3 linked regions of the Oryzias latipes genome follow. The protein of the gene in region 1 interacts with the protein of each later gene in a pairwise test. Links are inferred from orthologs where the notes say so. Each region holds a gene or a part of one and is shown in the gene's direction. Other genes may lie near its edges.

The links.
Region 2: the proteins of heterogeneous nuclear ribonucleoprotein Q (region 1) and heterogeneous nuclear ribonucleoprotein D0-like interact in binary tests that used the Homo sapiens proteins (3 or more experiments, as listed by UniProt). The link is inferred for Oryzias latipes from reciprocal best matches to the Homo sapiens genes SYNCRIP and HNRNPD.
Region 3: the proteins of heterogeneous nuclear ribonucleoprotein Q (region 1) and prmt1 interact in binary tests that used the Homo sapiens proteins (3 or more experiments, as listed by UniProt). The link is inferred for Oryzias latipes from reciprocal best matches to the Homo sapiens genes SYNCRIP and PRMT1.

What each region holds. Positions count from the first base shown.
Region 1 is NC_019882.2:1,562,525-1,566,020, reverse strand, and holds part of heterogeneous nuclear ribonucleoprotein Q, read left to right. Parts: intron 1-52; coding exon 53-229; intron 230-330; coding exon 331-466; intron 467-556; coding exon 557-762; intron 763-1,348; coding exon 1,349-1,498; intron 1,499-1,584; coding exon 1,585-1,706; intron 1,707-1,790; coding exon 1,791-2,397; 3' UTR 2,398-3,496. UniProt on the Homo sapiens protein: Heterogenous nuclear ribonucleoprotein (hnRNP) implicated in mRNA processing mechanisms. Component of the CRD-mediated complex that promotes MYC mRNA stability.
Region 2 is NC_019870.2:2,825,187-2,829,273, reverse strand, and holds the start of heterogeneous nuclear ribonucleoprotein D0-like, read left to right. Parts: upstream 1-1,142; 5' UTR 1,143-1,503; coding exon 1,504-1,670; intron 1,671-2,762; coding exon 2,763-2,931; intron 2,932-3,590; coding exon 3,591-3,752; intron 3,753-4,087. UniProt on the Homo sapiens protein: Binds with high affinity to RNA molecules that contain AU-rich elements (AREs) found within the 3'-UTR of many proto-oncogenes and cytokine mRNAs.
Region 3 is NC_019866.2:24,804,406-24,808,794, reverse strand, and holds the start of prmt1 (protein arginine N-methyltransferase 1), read left to right. Parts: upstream 1-1,581; 5' UTR 1,582-1,677; coding exon 1,678-1,704; intron 1,705-2,602; coding exon 2,603-2,698; intron 2,699-2,774; coding exon 2,775-2,930; intron 2,931-3,006; coding exon 3,007-3,070; intron 3,071-3,139; coding exon 3,140-3,282; intron 3,283-4,357; coding exon 4,358-4,389. UniProt on the Homo sapiens protein: Arginine methyltransferase that methylates (mono and asymmetric dimethylation) the guanidino nitrogens of arginyl residues present in proteins such as ESR1, histone H2, H3 and H4, FMR1, ILF3, HNRNPA1, HNRNPD, NFATC2IP, SUPT5H, TAF15, EWS, HABP4, SERBP1, RBM15, FOXO1, CHTOP, MAP3K5/ASK1, MICU1 and NPRL2.

The sequences.
Region 1 (3,496 bases):
AATCAGTGGTATTCACCTGTATTCTCTGCATTGAATTCTCTTTTTCTGGTAGATCTTTGTTGGGAAGATTCCCAGGGACTTGTTTGAAGATGAGCTGGTTCCTCTCTTTGAGAAAGCTGGATCTATTTGGGACCTCAGGCTCATGATGGACCCCCTAAGCAGCCTTAACAGGGGTTATGCTTTTGTTACATTCTGCGCTAAAGAAGCAGCACAAGAGGCGGTCAAACTGGTGAGTTCATGGAGTTATTTTCAGACAAAAACTTTCATTTTCAAATTAAAATGGGCCGAACGGCCTGTTCCTGACCGTCATCCTGAAATGCCTTTTTACAGTGTAATAACTACGAGATCCGCCCCGGAAAGCACATCGGTGCGTGTATATCTGTCGCCAACAACAGGCTGTTCGTTGGCTCTATTCCCAAAAGTAAAACAAAGGAGCAGATTGTTGAAGAGTTTTCAAAAGTCACAGGTACGACCGGGGTTCCTGTCGGTACTTGAAGAACTTTCCTTAAATATAAATCTTGTGATTTATTTTGTTCTGAATCTTCTTTGTGTCCAGACGGCCTGAACGATGTGATCCTGTACCATCAGCCCGACGACAAAAAGAAGAACAGAGGCTTTTGTTTCCTGGAGTTTGAAGACCATAAAACAGCCGCTCAGGCACGGCGCAGGCTAATGAGTGGGAAGGTCAAGGTCTGGGGCATCCTGGTCACAGTGGAATGGGCTGATCCCATCGAGGATCCCGACCCAGAGGTCATGGCCAAGGTGAGCATCACCCTTTGAAAACCTGATGCTGAACTGAGAAACCCAATGCATGGAAACGCCTGCAGGCCTGTTCCTTTGCCCCCTTGGGGAAGGATGGGTTTGTTTGAATGTTATCTGGCCAAAGCGGTACTCTTCAAAAAGTGTTACTGCATGACAGAGTACTTAAAATGCTTAATGTCCTTATTTTTAACAGTCTGCAGTGCACCTCTGTTTTCACACACACAAGGAAACATATTTTACCTCTCATCGCCACGGCAACAGACTTTTTTCAGAGCAGTGCACATTATCCGTCGGGTAACTGTATTAGGATCTTCTGCTGTGAAGTACAGACAAAGCTGCGCTCGCTAGAGTAAAGCTCCACCCCCACAGCCTCACGCCTTCTCATAGGAGCCGCCCACAATCACTGGAAAGGCAATATTATTGGCTAGAGTTCAGTAAGACTGGAGAGTGATACGTGATATGAACGAAGCCCAGAAATCTGTTTTTAATGGTTCTGGTAATGCGGCACACGTTGGTACAAGGATGTCCTGACAGAAGGAAGCTGCACAGGTCTGATGGGAAAAGCGTTTCTCTATCTGTGTTGCAGGTGAAGGTTTTATTTGTGAGGAATCTCGCCAACAGCGTTACGGAGGAGATTCTTGAGAAGTCTTTCAGTGCGTTTGGAAAGCTGGAGCGAGTGAAGAAGCTGAAGGACTATGCCTTCATTCACTTTGAGGAGCGGGAAGGTGCAGTGAAGGTACACACTTTCATTCAGAACCAGAGCATTCTTTCTAAAAAACAACACAAAAGAATGGACCTAAAACTGACCAAACCTTCATTTAGGCCTTGGATGAAATGAACGGGAAAGAACTGGAGGGAGAGCCAATCGAGATCGTCTTTGCCAAACCGCCGGATCAGAAAAGAAAAGAACGCAAGGCTCAAAGGCAGGCAGCCAAAACACAAATGTATGAGCTGTTAAATCAGCAGGAAAGCCTTCCTCCTCCACAAATACTGACTTTATGCTTCTGATTTTTTTTCCTTTCTGTCAGATATGATGATTACTACTATTACCCTCCTGCTCCCCACGCGCCCCCTGCAAGAGGCCGGGGCCGAGGAGGCAACCGGGGTGGATACGGCTACCCCTCCGACTACTACAGCTATGATGACTACTATGACTACTACGGCTATGACTATCACAACTACCGCGGCGGCTACGAAGACCCCTATTACGGCTACGAAGACTTCCAGTCCCCGAGCCGAGGGCGCGGCAGCAGCAGGGGCGCCCGTGGCGGAACTTCACCGGCTCGAGGACGCGGCAGCGCCGGCGCGCCGAGGGGCAGGCCCAGCTTCCCCCCGCATGGAGGGCCTGGACCGAGCCGCGGAGGGCGGGGAGCGAGAGGAGGCGTGCAGCCGAGAGGGCGAGGAGGGGTACGTGGTGTTCGGGGTGGCCGCGGTGGAAATGTAGGAGGAAAGCGCAAAGCTGATGGGTACAACCAGCCAGATTCCAAGCGTCGCCAGACCAATAATCAGAACTGGGGCTCTCAACCCATTGCTCAGCAACCCCTCCAAGGTGGTGATCATGCTGGTAACTATTTTGGTTACAAATCTGACAACCAGGAGTTTTATCAGGATTCTTTTGGGCAACAGTGGAAGTAAACCAGTAAGGCTTTCATAAAAGGAAAGAATTTATCCTTTCTGCCTTGTTTTTTCTCATTTAGAGACTTGATCTAATTGGCCCTCTATTCCATTTTGTTGCCAGCTTTATTTTTTTGTTTTTTCCACTCAAAAGTTAGTGACACCTGGCAGGATATCTTTATGTATATATTTTATCGATCCGCTTGGACTCGATCTAGTCACTCTCACCTGCTTCTGGCAAACTGCATTTTTTTCCTTTGTTGTTTTTGTTTTTTTAAGGTGGTCGTAAAAGATTCTTCAAATCCAACTTTTCCAACATTTTTAGATGCGAAATGTGCTGAAGCTGTCTATTTGGCTGTAGCTTAATGTATGTTTTATAGAAATTCTGATTTTAATGTTTTAACTAGTTAAAATAAAAAAGCTACCAAGCTTCTGTCTCCTAAAAATGTATTTAATAAGAGTGAAATTACAATTTGTATTGTAAAAGTAATGCGTGTCTTGTTATTGAAAAGAAAAAAAAAAAAGGACAACCGTAGTCCTCATTTTTGGGCTTTACATTTTGGCTTGTATTCTTTGCTGTTTGTCTGCTTTAATAAACATACACGCACACGTGTACAAAAACTTCAAATTGTGTCGCAAATTCATGTTTCGGCAAATTCTCTTTTCAAATTTTCTTCAAATTTAAGGCTCCATGTGGAAGAAGGTGGACTGAAGGTTTGCCATTGTTGGCCATATGCTACAGTGTCACCTTGCATGCCATCCAGTTCCAAGTCACCTTCTGTAGTCGGCATCTCAGAGCTCTGTCTGTGTAGTGGCGTACCTCATGTCCCAAAACATCTCACTAATTGGTGTCCCAAATTCACTGTCAACGCAGCGACGTCAGAACGGCCTGGGGGGGGGGGGGGGGGGGGGCACAAAAGCACAATTGGATTGTAGCCTCAGACTGAAGCTTTTCCTGGTCCCAGAAGGAACTTTGCTGTTCACAGCGTGGAAACTAAACCTGCATGTTTATCTCCAGGTTTGGCGCCGGACTTGTGTTGGGAAGCAGCGCTTTGCATGCCTCCTCCCTGTAGATCTGATTTATGCCCTCATTCCTGCTTCACCCGTGTCTCTGCCATCT
Region 2 (4,087 bases), on another chromosome or scaffold:
AACCAGAAATTGGTGATGAGTACCAAACTATTGAATTACAAGACGACTACTCACTATAGTGCGTTTGCCATTTTGTCCGCATCTATTCCGAAATCGAATGGCCCAATATTCACATTTAAATTCCAAAATCAAGTGCCCTACAAATTTCCCAGAAGTCTCTGCGAAAAACCAGTGTGCAACACCAGATCGATGCACACTAGATTTTCGAATACAGACCACAATATGTTGCATTAGAACAATTTTTGCAAGAAATAATAAGTATTACCATCTATTTTTGATAAACCACTTACGTTTTTTCATGCTTTTGTCAAATAAAAGTTATAAATTCATAAAAATACAGTTACAAAAACAGATTTCTTGATAAATCAGGTATAAAACTGTTTTTTTGCACATTTTAAAAGCTAAATGTAATATTTTTTTACAACTTTTTGAAGCCTTTGTTTATCATTATATATGAAAATTGTTGAATTATTTTTCACAATTGTACAACTTTCTTCTCACAAATTAGATTTTTCTTCATAACTGTATGACTTTGTTCTCATGTTGTACAAACTAATGCTCCTAACTTTTAACTTTATTTAATAATTGTATGACTTTATTTTCATACATATGTCTTTTTTTCTTCTTTGATGGTGTCCCTGATGCGCCATCATGAGTGTCAGTGTTAGTATGATTTTTGATTTTGATAAAGTTTTTCTTCTGGTTGCTCGTTTGCTGAGCAGTTTTCCTTTCCTTTCATTTCAATTTCAGAATTTTATTTTTGTTTTTGTTGCCTAGCATTTTTAAACAAAACAATCAAATATAGAGTTGGTCATGCTTTTTATTTATTTATGTATGTATGTATTGATTGATTGATTGGTTTCTCCTAAAACCATTTCCATTATTTTGGAGAGAAAAAAAGGTCCAATACTAAAAGTCTTTCATATTTAGATTTAGAACTGTATCTAAAGATTTTTAAGATGAAGATAATTGGATCTTGGAAAATTAGGCTCAAAACTAAAACAACAAATCTCTTTATTTATTTATTAATAAGAGAACAATTCATTTGAATAAAGTCCCTTTTAAAAAATGTAAAATATTCAATTATTTACAAATTACCCTGGTGTTACATCTCCGCTGCAGCAGGTGGCGCTCTGCACTCAAATGCTCACTTGGGATTCGCAGAAGTAGACAAACAAGAAACGACTGGCAAGAAAACTAAAATATCGGATGAAAAAATATCCTTTAAAATTATTAGAACTGAAAGAAAATTATATTTAGAGATCAAGGCGTTTTCTTTATCTATTTAAATTTTGAGATAACTTCGAATAAGTTGAGCTAGCCTCGTCCTGTTTTTGAACATCGGCTTTTGTTATTTGTTATCTGTTAGCAGCTAGCAACTATCTTGGCTGTTAGCTTAAAATAAATCGAATTTTTTTTGGCTCAAAATTACTTTTGATTTTTTTTTTTCCGAAAATCATTTCATTAGAACTAGCATTTGATCTTTTCGAGAAAAAAGTGAAGATGTCTGAGGATTATGAATTTAGCGAAGACCCGAGTATGATGAGGATGGAGGAGGATGGAGAGGCTAACAATGACGACCCCATGTCAGCTCAGGGGGATGGCGGCCTGATGGGGGACGAGGCCGAGGGATCAAGGATCGACGCCAGCAAAAACGAAGAAGATGAAGGGTAAGTTTATCCGCGCGGGGAGCCTTTCATACAAACATACTCCCAGAGAGACTTCTGGGACATACAGCTCGGATGACCGGGAAAGCTCCTGCACGGTTATCCACGGCACTGTTGATCCATGGACGCACATTTGTTGTAGTTATTTTCAAATTGTTTTATATTTGCGGCAACGTTTGGTGAGTTCCAAAAATGTATTGGCGTTTATTTTGATTAGGATTATACCGTTTTAGCTAAATAAAAAAAACCTGTCTTTTTGTAAGACTTAGTTTCTGCAGAGCGGCGGGAGTTTATTAGAAATTCACCTCTAAATTGTGGGCGGGACCATTGGCACAGACCCCCCCCCCCCCCCATCACCCTAACTGAGAGGTCTCTATTCACAAGCCCTCCTGCTAGCTTATGGCTTCTCACAACCCCAAGCTACCATTAGCGGGGCAACAAATTCAGATCCAGATTCCAGCTCAGACGAGGAAAACAAAGCTTTGCAGATGGATCTATTAGTCTGTATGTAAGTGGATGCATTAGAATGGAGAGGAGCAGGGAGGTTGTGGCCCCGCCCAGCGTGTTTTTTCTACATCACAAATATGATCTTTTTCAAACTCTTCGTCTGCCCCTGATGCACAACGATTTGAATAAAGAAATACTCAGAAACACAGTCTAAGCTTAATTTTACCATAAATGTCGTCCATCATCAGAAAAATGCTACAAGAACATGCTAAAAATACCCCAAACACCTTTTTCATTAGTGGGTCTTTGAAGTTCATTTGAAAGTTTCTTTGTTTGTTTCGGGGAGCAGCAATTAACTGTGGCTAAAAAACACAATAGAAAAACATAATTTACATAAAAACATAAATTAAAAAAAAGGAAAAGCTGCCAAATTTGACCCTGTGGGTTCTTCGGGGTCATATAAAAACAAAGAGGCTTTCTTCAGTTCTTTCTGTTTCACTTCTTTCATCACACTGTTCACTCGTTTTATATTTTATGAATGAAAATGCCAGCAGCAACCCGAGGAAAGATTCTTATAGTTAGGACTTGGGTCACAACAAACACAAACTTATACCACGGATCTCCTTCCAAATGTTTTTTTGCTGGCAGGAAGATGTTTGTTGGAGGCCTGAGCTGGGACACCACGAAGAAAGACCTGAAAGATTACTTTGCAAAGTTCGGGGAGGTGGTAGACTGCACATTAAAGCTGGACCCCATGACCGGACGCTCCAGGGGCTTCGGCTTTGTGCTCTTCAAAGACGCCGAAAGTGTGGAAAAGGTTCGATTCTGTTCAATACCTAAATGTTGTTTTTACTGGGGTGGTGTTGAAAAAAACAGTCTGATCTAATCAAATGTCTCTCAGATCAAGGAAATTTTCTTGTAAGCACTGTCTTCTGTTTTGACTTTTTTAAAAAGCAGCTTTTTATTTTTTATTTTTCAAGAATTTCAAACATTCAAGAATTTATTCATAAAACGTTCACCTTTGTTCAGTTTAAATCAACAGATACGTGCAGATTAACTTAACTCATTTAAAAAAAGTTTGTTTCACAACTTTTTTGAAATAAATACATATTTGTTCGAATCACACTGAATTGACAATAAATCAGTGAAGCAGTTTAACATTTAACTGTTTCAGCTCCAAGTTCGTCTTTTATTTTGGAGGCTTAGTCATTTCCTTCATGCGAAAAAAAGCAATAATATTATTTATCAAATAAATTCAGAAGATTTCAGACAAACTCATGAGTGAACACGTCAGCCTTTTGAAATATTTCTTTACGTTTGATGTTGTTATGAGCAGCAGATTTCTGTGGAGACACGCCTCAACATTTTCCTTCTATATTCTGTTTCTAATTATTACATCAGCTTTGATTTTTTTCTTGTTGTTGTTGTGTCATTTAGTGAGTTTTATTTATGTATTTGCTGCTTTCTGTTCTGAAGGTGGCGTCACAGAAGGAACATAAACTCAACGGAAAAGTCATCGACCCTAAAAAAGCCAAGGCCATGAAGAGCAAGGAGCCGGTGAAGAAAGTCTTCGTTGGTGGTTTGTCTCCAGACACCCCAGAGGAGAAGGTCCGAGAGTACTTTGGTGCCTTTGGAGAGGTTCGTGTCGTTTTTTTTTTTACTCAGCTTAAACCAGTTTTTATCCTTTGACACACTTGATTTACTCTTTTTATTTATGAACTTTCAGAAGTTTTGCGTCCAATTTGAGACCTAAAGCGTAACTGCAGACCCTAAACTGTGTAATTCTTCTGTATTTTTCTTTAATTCTCGTCATTAAATGTTGCACTCTCGGCTTCTGTGCTTTTGTGAAAAACGCTCTCAGGGGTTTTCAGGTTTATTTTTTCATTTTGCTCTTTTATTTTGAAACTTGCTCTGACAGGAGGACAAGCGTTTCCTGTCTCACCTCTTATGGTGCAGGACTCTGTGAAGTGTCA
Region 3 (4,389 bases), on another chromosome or scaffold:
CGTGTGTGCATTTCTCAAAACTATTTGTACAAACAGCAAAACACTATGGATTTCTTGCAAAAGCCTGTAACTTGCTCAAAATCTTTAGTTCATCTCTCCAAACTAAGTCTTTATGTCATTGAACATGTCAGTGCCATCAGAATGTCAAGTCCTTGTGTCATTGTCTACGAACAAGACAGTCAAATGACTTAGTCATGTTGTCAATATAACTGTGTACTTTAAAGGGAGGTTCTGATGGAAACTATGGCTAAAGTTTGGATGACAATTATTGTAAAATGGAAGTTACACCTTTTTTTTTTGATTGCAAGAGACTGGACAAGATTCACATTTACACTTTTATTGTTCATATTGTAATTTGTAGACAGACCATGTCATACCAACATAGAAAAAACCCACTGCAAACAGTAACACAAAGGGGAAAAAAGATAGGACAATATTCTGTCCAACAGTCCAGGCAGTGCAGTAGGAATTGGTGTGGTCTTCCTACACCTCTTGTCGTTCCTGTATGTTAGGCCACAAATTCTCATCCACATCACAGCGAATATCCTCTCTTGCAATGCAGCGAAATATGATTGTCACATTATGACAACTTGGTCAACCATTTTGCAGTTAATGACTTATACGATGAACTAATGACTAGGAGTTTTGAGGAGTAAGACTATTGCACAGTGAACTATATAATACATTTTGATCAACATGACATAAACAATTGATAATGTAGCAAAGAGCAGAGAATTGTACATAATCATTTGCATGGATGTACCAAAGCAATTGCAACTTGTTCAAAGAAGTGAGAAACTGCTTATATGATGTGCACAAGTGACATCATGATGTGAAGATTGAACAAATAGTTTTGGGAATTTCATTCTGATCTGACAATTGTACTAAAGCGACTGAAAAAAACTGTAATTGCTTAAACAAAAGTTTTCTTTTGCCAAATTGTGTGAAAGTGAGAAAATCGTTGAGTCCAAATCCCTTCACTATATAGTGCGTCTACAAATCTACATTTCAAAATCCAGGGCCCTAGAAATATCCCAGAAGTCTCTACGAAAAACCAGTGAGCATGGATAGATAGATAGAAAGATAGAAAGAAAGATAGATAGACAGACAGACAGACAGACAGACAGACAGACAGAGAGACAGACAGACAGACAGACAGACAGACAGACAGACAGACAGACAGACAGACAGACAGACAGACAGATAGATAGATAGATAGATAGATAGATAGATAGATAGATAGATAGATAGATAGATAGACTTTATTTAACAGTTTTTAATATTTTAACACATTTTGTTAAAATATTTTTATTTCATTTTTTTTATAAACCAGCAGTTTCATTATCATTACCCAGTGGATTCATAAATTGTCTTTTTAAAGTGTTTGTAGCATTTTTTTATAGTTTATTTTGGGAAAACGTTGGTAAATGTATAGTGAACAGGTCCTGTGGAGCCCATAAAATAGCCCTCACCCTCAGGAAGGTTAGTGATTCCTGCCCCAGATGGTGGTAAAAGGGGCAAAATGCAGAAAAAATGTCTCACGGGTAAAGCGGTATTTCCACCGTCTGTACAGTAGGTGGCGGTGTAGGCCTTCAACGCAGATTCAGATTAAATGTACGGAGGAAGAGAAGGAAGGACGGAGTAGAAGAAGAAACGGACTCTTCGCTGTAGATCGAAATGGCGGCGCCAGCAGAGAGGATGGAGGTGAGGTCTTTGAGCGGGAAAAACGCTCATTTGTGTTCGAGGAAACGTCCGCGAGTTTTCCCGCAGGCTCCGGAGCGGCGCTTCGCCGGTGTAGAGGGGGTGTTAGCGCTGGAGTTTCCGGATGCTGCCGCCGCTCATTCATCACAGTGTCGCATTTACGAGAAAAACAGGGGAAACGGTTAAACTCTTCAAACTGGCTTTTGTTTACGGTGGGGTCTGGTGTGTATTTTCGGTTCGACGCTGAAGCGACGGTGGGGGGGCGGCAGGCACGCAGCTGGCGGTGGAACCGGCAGAGCCTTCGGACCGCATGGAGACTAACGTGCTAGCTGCCGGGCTAATTAGCAGCTCGTGCTAACACGCTGATGCTGAGCTCGGATCCGCCGGACGTTAGTCTGCCAGAGTTTACGTTAAAACTCTCGATCAACGTGATCCACTACGGAGCTCCACGTGGGTCACTCCACCCGCGCGGTGCCGGTTTACCGGAAACCTGAACTAGCTTTTCTGTCGAGCCTGGAGTGGAAAACCGGCGAGCGGGTAGTCCCACTGTTTCATCCCGGACTAGACTAGAATCTTCGGTACCGGTTCTGCCGTCCTCTTGAGTGTCCCGGTCTCTGAGCTGGTCCAACAACAGAACCTTGTTCTGGAAGTTGGTCGTCACGTGTGGCTTTGTTACGACCGAACCGACGTTACCGGGTGGGGGTGGGGGGTAGGATAACTCTAACTTCCGGTGGTCTCATGGGGCATCGGGTCCACGTCCTTTGTTCCTCTGAGGCAGCGTTAACGGATCGGTTGTTTCTCTGTCTTCTGTGTTGCCTGGAACCGGACCGGCTCCTCGGCGGTTCCAGATCACGTGACTCCTTTGATCTGCAGACATTCATGGGGTTTTTCCTCCTTTGAGGTTTCTCAGGGAGAGAGCTCAGCCAAGCCTGCAGCTGAAGACATGACATCCAAGGACTACTACTTCGACTCCTACGCCCACTTTGGGATCCACGAGGTACGCCTTCGTGTCCCGTTAAACCTGCGGCCCCCGGTGCCCGCGTCCTCAATCGCCCTCTGCTCTGTTCCTGCAGGAGATGCTGAAGGACGAGGTCCGGACCCTGACCTACCGCAACTCCATGTTCTACAACAAGCACCTGTTCAAGGACAAGGTGGTGCTGGATGTGGGCAGCGGGACGGGCATCCTCTGCATGTTCGCGGCTAAAGCCGGAGCCAAGAAAGTCATCGGGGTAGGAAGGCGTGGACTCGGCTTGGCGGCGCCCGGTTGCGGCGCCTTGTCTCATCCGTGTGCTTCTGCCGTTACAGATAGAATGCAGCAGCATTTCTGACTACGCCGTCAAAATAGTGAAGGCCAACAACATGGATGACGGTGAGTCCACCGCCGTCCGGTGTTGACCGCTGAATGTGGAGGGAAGGTCCTGACCTCTTCTGTCTCTAGTTGTGACCATCATCAAGGGGAAGGTGGAGGAGGTGGAGCTGCCGGTGGACAAGGTCGACATCATCATATCGGAGTGGATGGGCTACTGTCTGTTCTACGAGTCCATGCTCAACACAGTCATCTACGCCCGCGACAAGTGGCTGGTGGGTGTCTCCTTCTGGACGTCAGCGCTTCCTCCAAACTAGTAACTGTAACCACTGACTGTATGTGAGACCTGGACTGAGGGAGCGGGACATGGAGCTGCATGGCATGAAGAAAATTAGCCACCAATATTGCAACAGACAAACAACAACAACAATATAATTGATATAATAATGAGATTTTTTAAAATAAGTCAACAAACTGTACTGCCAGTTCTGTCAATAGGAGATGGGTAAGCGGGTAAATGCCCCCATCTACCCGGTCAAGAACAGACTAGATAATTTGTGGTTGGGTGTGTTTTAAACATTTGTCTGACTGTGCATATGTGTCAACGTTTACGCCCTCTTTGCAATGCGGGATTGCTCAAGTTGATATGGCCATGTTGATTGTTTTTTGATTTTTTTTTTTGTGCAGGCCTAGAATTACGTCAAACGATAGAAAAGTTCAAAATTAAATTTTTTACGCTGCCATGTTGAAGCCAGACAATGTCAGTGAGCAATGATTGGTCTAAGTTGTTTCTATGACAACCAATCAGAAGAGAGCATGTTGGAAGGCCACACCCCTACCACTTAAAGTGGGCTACACGAAAATCTGTCAAACGTTTCTAACACAACCTACTTTTGAGGCTTCTGATTGGTCAGTTTATTGTTTGAACTACAGAAAAAATATTTAAATTATCAATAGATTGTTAGGAAAAGGCATCAGATCCAGAACGGTTCTTCTGACCAATAGAACACAGGACGAACAGCTGTCTGTTTCTCTATAGACGTCTATGGGACATTGGCTTCTTGGAGTCACTTCCTGTTTGGAATGCCAGAAGGGAGGGGTTACTCAGTCCAGTTCTCTGAAACAGTCAATGGTCTTAACAAAAGTACGACATTTCAATGATAAAAGTTTCTACCAAAGCTGAGCTGACGGCAAAGGTTGGCGGCTGGAATTCTGGGAATCCCTCAAAGATCCTCCTGGTGGCTCTAGAAAGGAGCTTCTGCTGTGAACACAGTCATGATCGGTTCATTGAAGATGTTTAAATGTAACCCCTGAGTGTGTTCCTAACACTCATGTCCCCCTCCCTCACAGAAGCCGGACGGACTCATTTTCCCTGACAGAGC